Oreochromis niloticus: one gene and its partner. The protein of the gene in region 1 purifies or fractionates together with the protein of each later gene. This does not show direct contact. Links are inferred from orthologs where the notes say so. Each region holds a gene or a part of one and is shown in the gene's direction. Other genes may lie near its edges.

Region 1 (7,301 bases):
ACTGTTCTCCTTGGATATGTCTTCTTCTGTTCAGTGCAGGATAAAAGTCACCTCAAGGTGCTTTATCATTGCAGGGTAGAGACTCAACAAAAATAAAGAGAAAACTTTTTAGATGACCAAAAATGAATAAACACTTGGCGACAGTGGGAAAGAAAAACTCCTTTTTAAGAGGAAGAAACATCAGATAAAACAAGACCAGGGAGGAACAACTTGCAATGACCAGTTGGGGAGGAGGGGGAAAAAAGAGCAGAAAAAGATGTGAGAAAAGACTTGACTCACATTAAGAAGGTGAATTTCATAGCCATAAATATTCTTAAGATAAATGTGTCAGATAAATGTTTCTCATACAATTCTTCTTAACAAATGATCAAAATTACTAAAATATGACCAGTAATACATTTCAAGCATTTGTGGCAGATGGCTGCCGCTCCCTGAGTCTGGTTTCTTCCTGTTTAAAGGAGGTTTTTCCTTCCCACTGTTGCCAATTGCTTGCTCATAGGAGGTGGTCTACTTGTTGGGGTTTCTCTCTATTATGGTAGGGTCTTTACCTTTACCTTACAATATAAAGCGCCTTGGCATGACTGTTTTTATGATTTGGCTAAATAAATAAAACTGAATTGAATTGAATAGTTTACGTCCTGCATCTGAGTGTAAATTGTGACTGCACAGTTTATGATGTATATAAAGGCTAGTGGGTAAGATGAAACACAATTTTATTTCTACATTGTGGCTCATTTTGGATAACATCTTTCAAAAACTAAAGGACTACACCTATGGTTGCAGCAACCAAACATCACCAAGTAGACCAATGTTATCCTTACTACGCCTGTGCCCCTCCTCTTCCTCTCTGCTCAGTGTGTGTTTTTGTCACTGTGACACACAAATTGGGGGCAGAGGATGAGCAGAGGACAGGCAGGTACACATGCATCAGCTCTGAAACAGAGCAGGAAAAAAAAGCTGCTCAGCCTCAGCTTGCAATGTGGCTCCTTAGGCCTGCTACATATGAAACTTTCACTATCTGAATGCAAATTGTTATTTTTTAATGATTAACTAAGTTAAAACAAAACAAAAAGAAATTTTGAGGAGCAATGTAACCAGAGGAGCAGCTCTGCAGCAGGGCATTACATGAATTTACGACGTGTGAAATGTTTCCTTTGTTCCTCCCTGTGGCAGCTTGCTCCGGGCAATTAGAGAAGGCAGTGACCTGAAGTGAGCTCGTTACCCCCACAACCTATCATCAGCCCACATAATTTTTGTTCAGTATGATATGATTGACTGGAAATCTTTTCATATGCTCTTTTTCAGCTCTTGCAGTAACACGGGGTTAGTGGTAACATGCAAGTAGCTTTTGCCTTCTGCATTTCCAGCTTAAATAGCTGTTAGAAGTGTAATTTATCATCATGTTTTCCCAGTATTGTGGTAAAATCTTACACCAAGCCGTGGCACCTTGCCAAAGTCTAAATTGCTCCACACTTCTTCTTTTTTTTCTGGGCACTCGGCCCCTGAAATAAACTCCATTTGCCATTCCATTTTGCAAACCAATTTGAGATGTAGGGTGGGGGCAGGAAAGGGAGAGGTATAGGTTAGCTGTAGTAATAACCATAAATCACCTCTGAAATGCGGCCATGTCACATGCCACACTGCACCACTAATGACCGGACCCATCTTTCACCGGGTATTTTTATCTGTGTGCCCTGACACTCGACTTCTGGAATCGTCCTCTCGTTTTACGTCGTCAGCACCTCGGCCAGGACTGAGCACAAGTTCCTCACATATCTATAAATACCAGCCAGCTAAATGGCATTTTCTCTCAACCCACCCCCTGCTTGGCAAGAACCGGGAGCTCTGTGACTTGGCACACAGGCTCACAGTCCTACGCCACGAAACATCTTGGGGCTTAGCCCCCCCGCACCCCACCCCAGCGTCACCCTCCAGAGAACAGCTGGCCAAAAAAATAGATCCATCTGCCACTGCCTTCAAATTCCAAAGTGGTCTCAGTTTAATTGAAAAAGCGTCAATCGGGCTTCACAAAATCGTGTAAAACATGACAAATATTGGCACACTGGGTCTGCTTTAGGCCGCCTGTTGGATTAACTCGTTAGACTGCTGATGTAGCTGAAGCATTAACATACTGTACGTCAGCGCATGTCGGCTCATACGCTCAGGCAGACTCACACACACCGAGAGGAACACACAAACACCTGTACATGCTTCCTTTGTGCAGAATGTTCTGCCAAGTTTTTTAAGCTTGCTGACATGCGGCACTAGAGACTGCAGTTCAGCAACAGCTTCTTGCTATTCTGGGATGTGTCACAGCACGAGGTTTTAATTCATTCTGCCAGAATGTGTCAATCACTTAGCAGCGGGGTCCAGGCCTGGGTTCTGCTGCTGGACTGAGAAGCAGGAAGGCACAACAGGCTAGGCCTTATTAAAGGAGTCAAACAAGGATTCAACTAAACTGTGCTATTCATAGACTTTCTTCAGAGGTGGGGTGTTAGAGGGGATGAGCGGGTAGCACAGGTGAAACAGACTGACACATACACAACAACAAGTTGGCTGTTTACATAGTTTAAACTAGGTGACAAATAAGAAAATGAGACTGATATTTCCAAGTCTTTATATTAAAAGAGAGTGGGGGTACTAGTCACAGAGCACGGTGTTTCACCTCCTTTCAAGATAACACTCTAAGTCTATTTTATAAGCCTTTTTTTTAAATTGCTGTGTATTTGAGAGTAAATGCAACTACAGCTTTCTCTTTCTTCTACCGTCAGGGTACCATTTGCCATGCAAGTTCCTGTACACAAGCCATGCCAAGGGTTTGAATTTGACCCGCCCAATGCGGTGCCAAAACACACATATCAGTCATCATGCGATGTCATGCCAGCTACAAATGGCATCAAATGACTTTGCACTACTTATCCTGTCCAATTCCATGTGATAAATGATGAAAAAGTTGAATTGTGCAGCAGTGTGACTTTGGAAGATGACAGACCTCATTTCTGTGCCCTGTCATTTGGTGATCACTGTAAAAAATGAACATCGTGAAAGCGGCTATGAAACTTAATGTGAGATACCTTCTGAGGGTGATTAATGTCTTTCTGTTCTTACCCACAAACATAAAGACTTCCATTAGAAGTTATAGTTTTGGTAAAGGGCTGCTCCCACTTTCCTGCCTTTGCTTTAGGGCGACTTTGACTTTTTGTCTCTGGGATTGCCAGTTAAACTGCCAGCCAGTCCAACGAGGAACATTTTTTTGTTTTTTAGTGTTTGTGCAAAGCATTTGAAACCACGGAAACTTTGGCTCTTTTCATCTTACATAATATTACCAAGAAAACTTTGCACATAAACAAAGATTGTGTGTTTGTGAGTGGGTGTATGCGAGGGATAGTAAAAGAAAGTAGTGCAAAGCATGTTTCCCTTTCTTGTATCTGTGTGTGTGTGAGTGGGAGTCTGTGTGGGCATGCGTGTGTGAACATTAACAGGATCTCTAAAGCAACAATCAGCGATCAGTCAGAGTGGTCGCTGACATCACGATCTTAAATAAATGACAGCATGGTAAAAGAGCGCTGATCCGAAGCCAGCGGGGCCCAACAGTCGGAGAATCCATAAGCCATAACAAACAATATTTCAAATAAACAGAACCCATGGCCAAGCCTGTCATCTTTCTGGGGCGTCTCCAAAACAGTCCTGTCTGACTTTACTCTCATGCTGTTTTCTGTTTGTTTTTTCGTTACATCTCCAGCGTGTTTTCTGGCATGCTTGTCCTCTGTCCGATCCCCTGCCTGTAACTGTATACAGATTAACCACCACATTTTCCCTCTGTGTGTTTGCATAAGTTTGCATTTTTGCCTTTCATGTTTACTTATGTACTGTGTATTTTTAAAAAGCTCACTTTCTAGGGATGTTGTTTTTTTGCTATACAAATACAGTAAAAGGTATATATATATATATATATATGTATTTGATATACAAGTTTTTTCTGAATCCTTTATAATACTGGATTAATGAACTAATTGGAAACCAGATAGACAGATTCATAGATGTTTTTGCTCCAGTGGGATATATAAAACTGTGAGCACATCATTTGGGCCAAACTATTAATAAGAAATCATTTTGGTCCCCTCCACCCCACCCCACTCTGAACCCCATTACTTCTTTGGACTCTTGCCCGGTAGTATCCGCATGGCAGCTGGACGCATGCGCAGGAGCAATCTTCATCAGCAATGTCCCATGCCTCTGAACAGCCTGGTGCTCAAACTTGGACGCGGACTGAAAATAATGTTGTTTCCCGCGGGGGCGAGCGTTCCGGTCACCGAAAGCGAGCCTCGGGACTCGTGTTTGAGTTTGTAAAATTGTTTTAAGGACTCCGAATAACTCATCGGCTTGTTTTTGGACTCTTGCTGATAATGGTAAGCAGTAGCTGAGTGTTTTGATCCCGGTCAGTGACAGCCTGCAGACGGCAGGGAGAGCTGTGCGGCGATCACGCTGTACTTGATTATGAGCGCTCGCAAGAAGTGAAGAGAATCTGGGAGCTGATTTCTTGCTGGGACGACAATACTTTTAACACAGGTATGTTTAAACTAGTTTGTGTTTTTCCCAGACGGCTGTGGCTTTATTATTAGACACTTAAATTGTAGGTCAGGTGGCAGAAGCGAGAAAACTGTCATGGTTTTGTTGAGTTTGATTAATTCCGATTTCAAAACATTTATATATATAAAAAAATCTGTAAAATGTATCAGTAACAATTAAAGGAATTATCCTCCATCAAAGAGTGACAGACTCCAGTTTTCTATAATATTATTACTAATATAAGTCTTTACTTTACCTTATTGTTGTTGTAAGGCCAGTGCATGCCCGTTAATAACAGTGATGTGTTAAGTGTGTGTCCATTTTTCTCAGACTTCATCCCAGCCCCGGAATCTCGGCTCACCGATAGATTACCTGATATTATACAAGTGGACAAAAAATAATATTAATAAAGATTTAGTGGTTGCTGTAATTTTTTGCTGAAACATGGCGAAATGACGTCAGATCCTTCCTTGTAAAATTGAATAGTTGTGCAAAAGGTTTTTCGTATTAAAAAGAAAAGAATGATAAAATTACAGTGATTATTTTTTTGTCATACATCAATCTTTAACTGCAGGTCAGTGCGGTCCATCCTTTTTTCCCCTCTCAGTTTGTGGACACATGAAGGAGTTTAGTCCCCTTGGTGTCCCCTCAGTTCTCAGTCTCCATCCCTCCGCGTGTCCACGGCTTTTTCTCTCCATCTCGCCTCTCATCCCACGTGGAGTTTGTGTTTATATTTGATATGTAGGAAATGGGAATCTTATACCACTGCCGGGCTCTCAGGGCTTGAATGGCCCCTGGCTATTGGCCTGCCTCTAACAACATGACAAGTTACACGCCGACTCAAAATCTGATAGGGGCCTACTGCTCCGTAATCCATACAGATTAGATTTCACATTAAGGGCTCATACTTAAACAACGTGCATTAATGCGCAAGATTTAGAGTGTGGAGAATTTCTGGAAAATTGTAAACTACTGCACTGGCCTTCTATCTCATTTTACATTACGGCTCGGTTATTCTAAGGCTGATAATCTCACCAGAAATGTGAAATATTTAGAATTAAATATTTTAATGCAGCCAAAGGGGATTTGTGGGTGTTGGCGTTTGCTAGTATATTTAAATTTTTTCAATGTGTTTTGTTTTTTTTGTAATTATTGTTAATTTGTTTATTTGTTAATTAGAGGCCATTTTAAGGCATTAAATAATCCCGTATATATATACTGTATTTCACACGTCACATTTGTTTCTATTTATTCATTATATTTGTCCTCTAGTGGGAGAACTCTAAGAGTATCCGTTTCATTATCTGGAAACTGTTTTAGGAGTAGAACCCTGTCCCGAAACGGGGAGGGCTGCAAAACACACTGTTTTATCCCTTTTAAAATGACCAGAATAAAGAACAGCATCGCACTCTTACATTTTCTAAGTCTTTTTTTGTACTTAAAAAAAAATAACTCTTATATGTATATCGTATTGTTTATAGAAATGTTGCGTTAGGCCTAAACCTGCCTAGCAGAAAAGATTTTATTATCTTCATGTCAGGTAATGTGCGGTTCATCTTTATTTTATTTTTATTAATTAATTTATTAATTTATTTTTTAACTTTTTAGGTTAAAAACAAATGTAAATATTGACCATTTAAACGTCAGAGGCCTTAGGGATTTTTTTTTTTTTATGTAAACAGTTTAAATTTTGCACAGACTAATCCTTAACTGGTAATCTTGGAAACTGCTCGTGTCATTTAAAGATCGATAGCTGCATATAAGCGATTGCTAAGACAGCGAGGTTAAAGTCGAATTTAACATGTGACTTTTCACTGCAGTCCCTCCGACCAGCAGCAGTCTGCGGTTTGTTCAACATTCTCCTTCCTTCGGCTTTTATAGCGTGAAATTACCGCAGTGTAGCTATTTGGTCCACTTTCTAACCCTCCGCCGTCCCATATGTGTTTCTTATGTCGCTGTCAATAGCCATAGTGAGAAATATAATTCTCTCTTCTGGGACGCCGAAGGAAATGGCAGGCACTATTGATTCCCTGTTTAGTGTCAGGTAACTGCTGGGTGGGTTTTAGGGCCGTGCAGGACAGCTGGGGCAGATAGACAGCATCATTTAATAAGAATTAGTCTGACATTTAAAAAAAAAAGAAAAAAAAAAGCAACATCCCCTTTTAATCAGCAAAACTCCCTTTAGGTCAGCTGCTGCATATTTGTGCTATAGTTTAACAAAATAAAAAAATAAATAAAAAAGGAAAACTAAGACAAATGCTCCATTACAAGCATGAAGTAAACTTTGCTCTTTGTGGGTTTACTGCCCATCACGTTTCCGCTAAAGAAGAATAAATCATGAAGGGAAGGGTGAAACCCAGCCAGATCGAATAGAAGGCTGATTATGTCCTCCACAAAGGTGAGAGAGAGGAGGAGAGGGCGGGAGGGAGAGAGAGGGTGAGGGTGGGGGTTGAGGGAAGCAGGGAGGCTTGGGCACAAATCAATTCACCTGAGAGACGCATTATTGTCTTCGGTTTCAGGCTAGGAGGAGCTGAGCGCTATGAAAAATTAAAAGGATGCCAGTTAGTTTAAAGGATCGAGCCAGAAAACTCCACAGTACACACACACGCAAACACACTCGGCAACAAAATGCTGCTCAGATAGAGGAACAACTTGGAGTGCCCCAATTTTATGCTCATACCTGTCCATATTTTAGGAAAACCATTTTAGACCCTGATCAGTCTTTGTGATAA
Region 2 (6,428 bases), on another chromosome or scaffold:
CACTTTCTCAGTTCATTAATAAAAACTTGAAACATGCCATAACAGACTCAAAGATGAATGAACGGCACAGCACGAGTCAAAACAGCTGTTCAGTTTCTGGGTTTGCTTTTGAAAAGTTAGTATTTCCACTTCTGGTCCCACTTACAGTTTCTTGGTACTGTCATGGTGTCCTGACGATATGAAAGTTAAGCTCACTTTCAGGCACTGAGGATTTTTTATCAATCATCTGAATGAAATATAATCCTAACAGAGAGAGTAAATAATAATCTTCTTTGTAATGGTGGCTGCAATTCTTTTCGTTTGTATCTGTGATCACTGAGAAAAACTAGTAGGAAAGCTCGATGTCTGCGCCACAACAGATGTTCTACTCAGGTGGCAATTTGATGTTCAATTCAATTCAATTCAGTTTTACTTATCCATCCATTCGCTTCCGCTTATCCTTTTCAGGGTCACGGGGGGTGCTGGAGTCTATCCCAGCTGTCATAGGGTGAGAGGTGGGGTACGCCCTGGACAGGTCGCCAGTCTGTCACAGGGCTAACACACAGGGACAGACAACCATTCGCACTCACATTCACTCCTGCATTCACACCTATGGGCATTTTAGATTTTTCAATTAACCTATCCCCACTAAGTGCATGTCTTTGAACTGTGGGAGGAAGCCGGAGAACCCACGCAAACACGGGGAGAACATGCAAACTCTTGACTTTTCCAGTGCCTTTAATACCATCCGGCCCTGTATGCTCCAGGAAAAACTGAACAGGATGGAGGTGGACCCCTGCCTGGTCGCTTGGATCTCCGACTACCTCACTGACAGACCACAGTACGTCAGGCTGAAGGACATCATGTCTGACACTGTGGTCAGCAGCACAGGACCACCACAGGGAACTGTGCTGTCCCCTCTTCTCTTCACCCTGTACACCTCTGACTTCTGCTACAACTCTGAATTATGCCATATTCAGAAGTTTGCAGATGACACAGCCATCATGGGGTGTATCTGGGATAATCAGGAAGAGGAGTACAGAAGTCTGGTGACGAACTTTGTCGCATAGAGTCACACAAACCACCTGCAACTCAACATCTCAAAGACTAAGGAACTGGTTGTGGACTTCGGGAGGTCCAGAGAAGGTCCACTGCCGGTTCAGATAGAGGGGGAGGAGGTGGAGGTGGTCAACAAGTACAAGTACCTCGGGCTGTGGGTGGACAACAAACTGGACTGGTCATGCAACACAGAGCACCTGTATAAAAAAGCCCAAAGCCGACTGTACTTCCTCAGGAGGCTGAGGTCTTTTAACATCTGCAGGAAGCTCCTGAGGATGTTTTACCAGTCAGTGGTTGCTGGAGTACTTTTCTATGCTGTAGTGTGCTGGGGGAGCAGCACAGCAAAGAAGGACTCATCCAGGCTGGAAAAACTGATCAGGAAGGCTAGCTCTGTGGTCGGCACAAAGCTGGACACTCTGGTGTCAGTGGCAGAGAGAAGGACACTAAAAAAAACTGCTGGACATTATGGACAATGCTGGGCATCCTCTGCACACGGCCATAAACAGCCAGAAGAGTCTGTTCAGTGACAGGTTGCTTCTCCCAAAGACAAGAACCAACAGACTTAAAAACTCCTTTGTCCCACACGCCATCAGACTGTTTAACTCCTCTCTGGAGGGGAGAGGGAGGGGAAACAGGAGGACAAAGGAGGGGGGAACAACTAAGCTGTAGTGCCTCTTCACTTCACTGTGCAATACTTTTTGTGCAATACTTTTTGTTAATAGTCAACGGTGCAATAGACTTCAATACTTGAAATGTGCAATTCACTTGTATTCTTATTTCTATTTATTCTATTTATCCCCTTCGTATATTTTATTTATATATGTCTCTGTATTTATATATGTGTATAAATATATAATATTATGCTCACGCTCTGTAACTTCTGTCGGTGCTGTGCTTTTTGGAAACCGAATTTCCCAGAGGAACCCACCCGAGGGATTAATAAAGTTTTATCTTATCTTATCTTAACTCCACACAGAAAGACCCTGGCCTGATGGTGGAATTGAACTCAGGACCTTCTTGCTGTGAGGCGCTGCCCTCAGTTTTACTTATATAGTGCCAAACCACAACCACAATTGCCTTAAGGTGCTTATACTGCAAAGTAAAAACCCTATACAGTAGTTATGGAAATTGCATTATGTTGTAGCCTTGATTTAATATCCTAAAGGAGTGTGACTGGTACATAGTGGACTGATATTGTGTAGTTTCTCTCAGCTGAAACATGCACGCAATCCTAAAGCACTCCTCAGAGATGAAAAGCTTAAAATGTCTGTCTGCATTAATCTGTTTAACTCGTGGCATCCTGTTAGTCAGACACAGCCTGCATTTGATGTATGATACACTCCACGACAGTAACATGATTTCTGCCACAGATGTAAGAGGCTTGGTGAGCGTCCTGAATGAAAGGCTCCATATTGTCTTACTCTGTCTCCGTGTAATCTTTCACATTGGCAGATGGATCACTTGTCTCTTCGAGTATCTCTATGGACAAAAGCACACAGACTGCTGTCTGTACTGTTGCTTTAACCCTTTGAAAAGCTAAATAAAACTGATAAAGACAACATCGCCTATGCTTAGCAAAAGGCACCCCCTGGTATCACCAGGTCTCTAAATGTCCTCCTTCATTACACGCATGAATTTTCTCTGTAGTCTCATATTCAACATCCTTTATCTAATATAGACACACAATGTATGTTTTTTTTCTTAGCTGCTCTATAGCTTTTACATGAAAGAGAGTAAAGAGAAAAAAAAACTAATTTTAAATTGGGCTAGAAGCATAAAGCCACATGAAAGGGAACTATTTAAGTAGAATAAAAGTAACACGACATTTTATTTGATCCAAGGCAACCGGTTGAGTCTCCAGGGAGTAGTAAAAATCTGGTACATAACCATACTTAAACTGAAACTATGATGGTAGTTTTTTAACTTTTTAACACATTTGTTCTTTAGGGGTCACAACACTGGATCTGCCTCCACCTCACCCTTTCGCTAACACCTTCCTTGGTCACAACAACCCTCAGCATGTCCTCCTTCACTACCTCCATGAATCTTCTCCGTGGTCGTGCCTGGCAGCTCCATCTTTAACATCCTTTGTCCATTGTATCCACTATCTCGGTCACTCTGTACATATCTAAACCACCTCGGCCTCGACTCTCAAACTTTGTCTCCAAAATGGTAAAACTTGAACTGAACTCATTTCTAATCCAGTCCGTTCTGGTCACTCACAAAGGAAATCTAAACACCTCCAGCTCGGCCTCCTGTCTTTTTGTCAATGATACCGTCTCCAAACCATACATCATACATCCCACTACCATCTCGTAAACCTTCCCTTCAATCTTGCTGCTATCCTTGTGTCATAAATCCCTTCCTGACACTCATCTCTACTCCTCCACCCTGCCTGCACTTTTTTCTTCACCTCTCTTGAGCGTTGTCCTTTGCTTTGGTTGACCCCAACTTCTTTACCTCTGCTTCCTGCAGCTTTACTGTTGCACCTGCTGTACCTCTCTTGCATGCACAGATGTTCTATCTTGCGTCTACTGATTTTCATCCATTTTCTCTCCTCTACTATTCCTTATCTATCTTAGGTCAAGCCCTAAGAAAATCTTTGCACCGTTAGCTCAGCCACTAGACCTGCCTTCTATTTGTATCACCTTCAAAACCACACAGCAGAGTGGCGCAGCGGAAGCGTGCTGGGCCCATAACCCAGAGGTCGATGGATCGAAACCATCCTCTGCTAACAGTTTTTAACCGAGCCACAAGATAAAGCTTATACTCCAAATGTCGTTTAAAAGACTAATAAGCGCATATTAAGCTGTTCGACCACATGAATGCATAATGTTCAGGGCGTATTTTGTTGATGAAATCGTGAATCATGTCGCATACGCAGTAATGTTCTTTTGTCTGCAGTGTTTTTTACCAGGCTGACAAGTGAAGGCTGCGAGTGACAAGACAAGTGAAGGCTGAGAAGACTTTTCTCACCCGGCTGCTGTTAATAAGAAGACCCTAGAGAAGTATTATTACAGCTCAACACCAAGGCAACATGCAGGTTAACCTGCAGGTCAGAGACGATAAACACACGCATACACAATAACCCACCACCCTTTCTTACCTTCGTGCCCTCTGCGGGAGTTGAGCGTGGCACTGTGGGCTTGAGGTGCTCACGGCCCTAACTGCGTACGAAGCCTTTGGACACAAGACTGATATTTGTTTTATATTATTGAGCAGCTCACTTGCTGCAACACAGGAGGCAGCCATGTTGGTGTCGCTGCTCTGACAAACACGGGAATTGTAGTTTTATTTGAAGTAGCAGTTAGTACGCTACTTCGCCGCTAGCTGTGGTTTAAAACTACAAGCCCCAGCATTGTGTATTTTCCAGCTTCCGACTAAAGAGGCATCATTTCCGCTTTGAGAACTGGCGGGACTTCTTCACTGGATAGGAAAGCTGCGGGTTGTTTACAAACCTCGGAGGTTGTTTAAACACACAGAAAATGATGGCAACAAACGGAAAAGACGCGTGTGGGGTCAAAGAAGAGGCGCACACAGCTGCGGTAAACGGAGATGGCGCAGAGGCGTCGCCGCAGTCGAAGCGGCCGCAGAGGTTCACCTTCAGCTCCGAGCCCTCCATCGAGGATATTCGGCGCATGCAGGCCGATTTTACGGACGAGCGGGACTGGAACCAGTTTCACCAGCCCCGCAACCTTCTCCTGGCCATGGTCGGGGAAGTGGGCGAGGTGGCAGAGCTCTTCCAGTGGAAGGGGGAGGTAGCCAAGGGCCTGCCGGACTGGACCGAGACAGAGCGGGAGCAGCTGGCGCACGAGCTCAGCGACGTGTTGATCTACCTCGTGGAACTGGCCGAGAAGTGTCGCGTGGACCTCCCGCAAGCGGTGCTCCGTAAAATGGCTCTAAACCGTCTGAAATACCCCGCCAGCAAAGTGCAGGGGTCGGCCAAGAAGTACACAGAGTATAAAGACTGATGGAGGAGGAGGAGAGCACGGGAGTAGTGTGTTTGCTGGAACTGCTGCTGTTTAACAAAGACCCACAAACGCTGCACAATCACAGCTCGGTTTAAATGACATTTTCTGGGTTTACATGTTAGGAAACCACGAAAACCTTCAACTGTTGTGTTATCTGGGAGTTGTCCGAACTAAAGGAATATGTTGGCTTTCACTGAAGTTCACTTTTAAGTCCTGAGTTTTAGTCTGACCTTCACTGTGCCTCGGTTAGTTTAAGGTGGGACTGTTGCGCATCGCCTTTCGGGGGTTTATTTGTCACTAAACATTTTAAGTTATTTAGATTGGCTCCAGTGTCACCACGGAGTGGAGTGTTGATCAGTGCCAGACTGACAGTCTTGTCTCTTTTTTCCATCCAAATGTATCAGTATATTCTTCAAATTTGGATGTTTTTATCACATTTTCTTTTAAAGGATAAAACTGGATTAGTAATCTGTTAACCAACCTGCAGTTGATTAAGCAGGTATCTTAATTGATGTTTTGATTTCAATCGCATGCCAGCTAATCTTGGTGTCCACTTTGTTCAGTTTTTTTTTTTTTTTTTTTTTTTTTTTTTTTTTGACAATTTATGAAACATCGCAGATTCAATAATGTCTTATTATTCATGAAAAGCCAAGTTACGTCCATAAACCAGGACGTTTTTATTTGGGCTGTAATAAAGTGCAGTTACAATCCATCCTTTTTTTCCCCTTTTTTTTCCCTTTTTTTTTTTTTTTTTTTTTTTTTATAAATAAACTTCTTTCTAAGACACTAATCATGTGGAAGTTTCCCACACTCACAAACAAAAGGTTAAGTGAAGTAAGGATAAAAGGATCCTGTAAAACAGTTTGTATAATTCTGCCAATCTTAATGTCCATATTATGATCGTCTTTATTTTTCAGCACAGTCTGAACTCTCTTAGGCAGCTTTCTTGTAATTTCTTTAAGTAATCTTCAGGAATAGTTCTCCAGGTTTCTTCAAGGACATTTAAAGCTCTTCTTTGAAAGTGGTCTGCCTTTTGTTCTGTTCTCTGTCAAGATGATCCTACACTGCTTCAATAATGTTGAGGCCTGGGTTCTGGTAAGACCTTTCCATGTGATATGTGTGTTTTTCTATCCAAATATGCTTTTGCTGCACTGACATTGTTTGGGATCATTTTTATACTAAAAAATGAAGCTGTTGCCTATCAGATACTTTCCAGGTGTATCACATAGTAAATCAAAATCCTATGATACTTTTCTGCGTTCATACTTCCATCAATTATGACAACATCCCCCCACACCACTGGCTGCAACCCCAAACCATGACAGCCTAAACTGTGTTTTACAGATGCCTTTTTTTGGTAAACAATGTTGTTAAAGGCTAAACCTACTAAATCTAAACCAAATGAAAGACTAAAAATTG

Evidence for each region.
Region 2: the proteins of eya4 (region 1) and dctpp1 purify together in Homo sapiens (affinity purification with mass spectrometry; 3 studies listed by BioGRID and IntAct, with this or other methods). This does not show direct contact. The link is inferred for Oreochromis niloticus from reciprocal best matches to the Homo sapiens genes EYA4 and DCTPP1.

The regions. Positions count from the first base shown.
Region 1 is NC_031980.2:8,189,957-8,197,257, forward strand, and holds the start of eya4 (protein phosphatase EYA4), read left to right. Parts: upstream 1-4,206; 5' UTR 4,207-4,569; intron 4,570-7,301. UniProt on the Homo sapiens protein: Tyrosine phosphatase that specifically dephosphorylates 'Tyr-142' of histone H2AX (H2AXY142ph). 'Tyr-142' phosphorylation of histone H2AX plays a central role in DNA repair and acts as a mark that distinguishes between apoptotic and repair responses to genotoxic stress.
Region 2 is NC_031971.2:15,529,968-15,536,395, reverse strand, and holds dctpp1 (glutamyl-tRNA(Gln) amidotransferase subunit B, mitochondrial), read left to right. Parts: upstream 1-4,455; 5' UTR 4,456-4,523; coding exon 4,524-5,009; 3' UTR 5,010-5,721; downstream 5,722-6,428. Other genes in the region: gatb (glutamyl-tRNA(Gln) amidotransferase subunit B, mitochondrial), read right to left, coding at 4,145-4,290. UniProt on the Homo sapiens protein: Hydrolyzes deoxynucleoside triphosphates (dNTPs) to the corresponding nucleoside monophosphates. Has a strong preference for dCTP and its analogs including 5-iodo-dCTP and 5-methyl-dCTP for which it may even have a higher efficiency.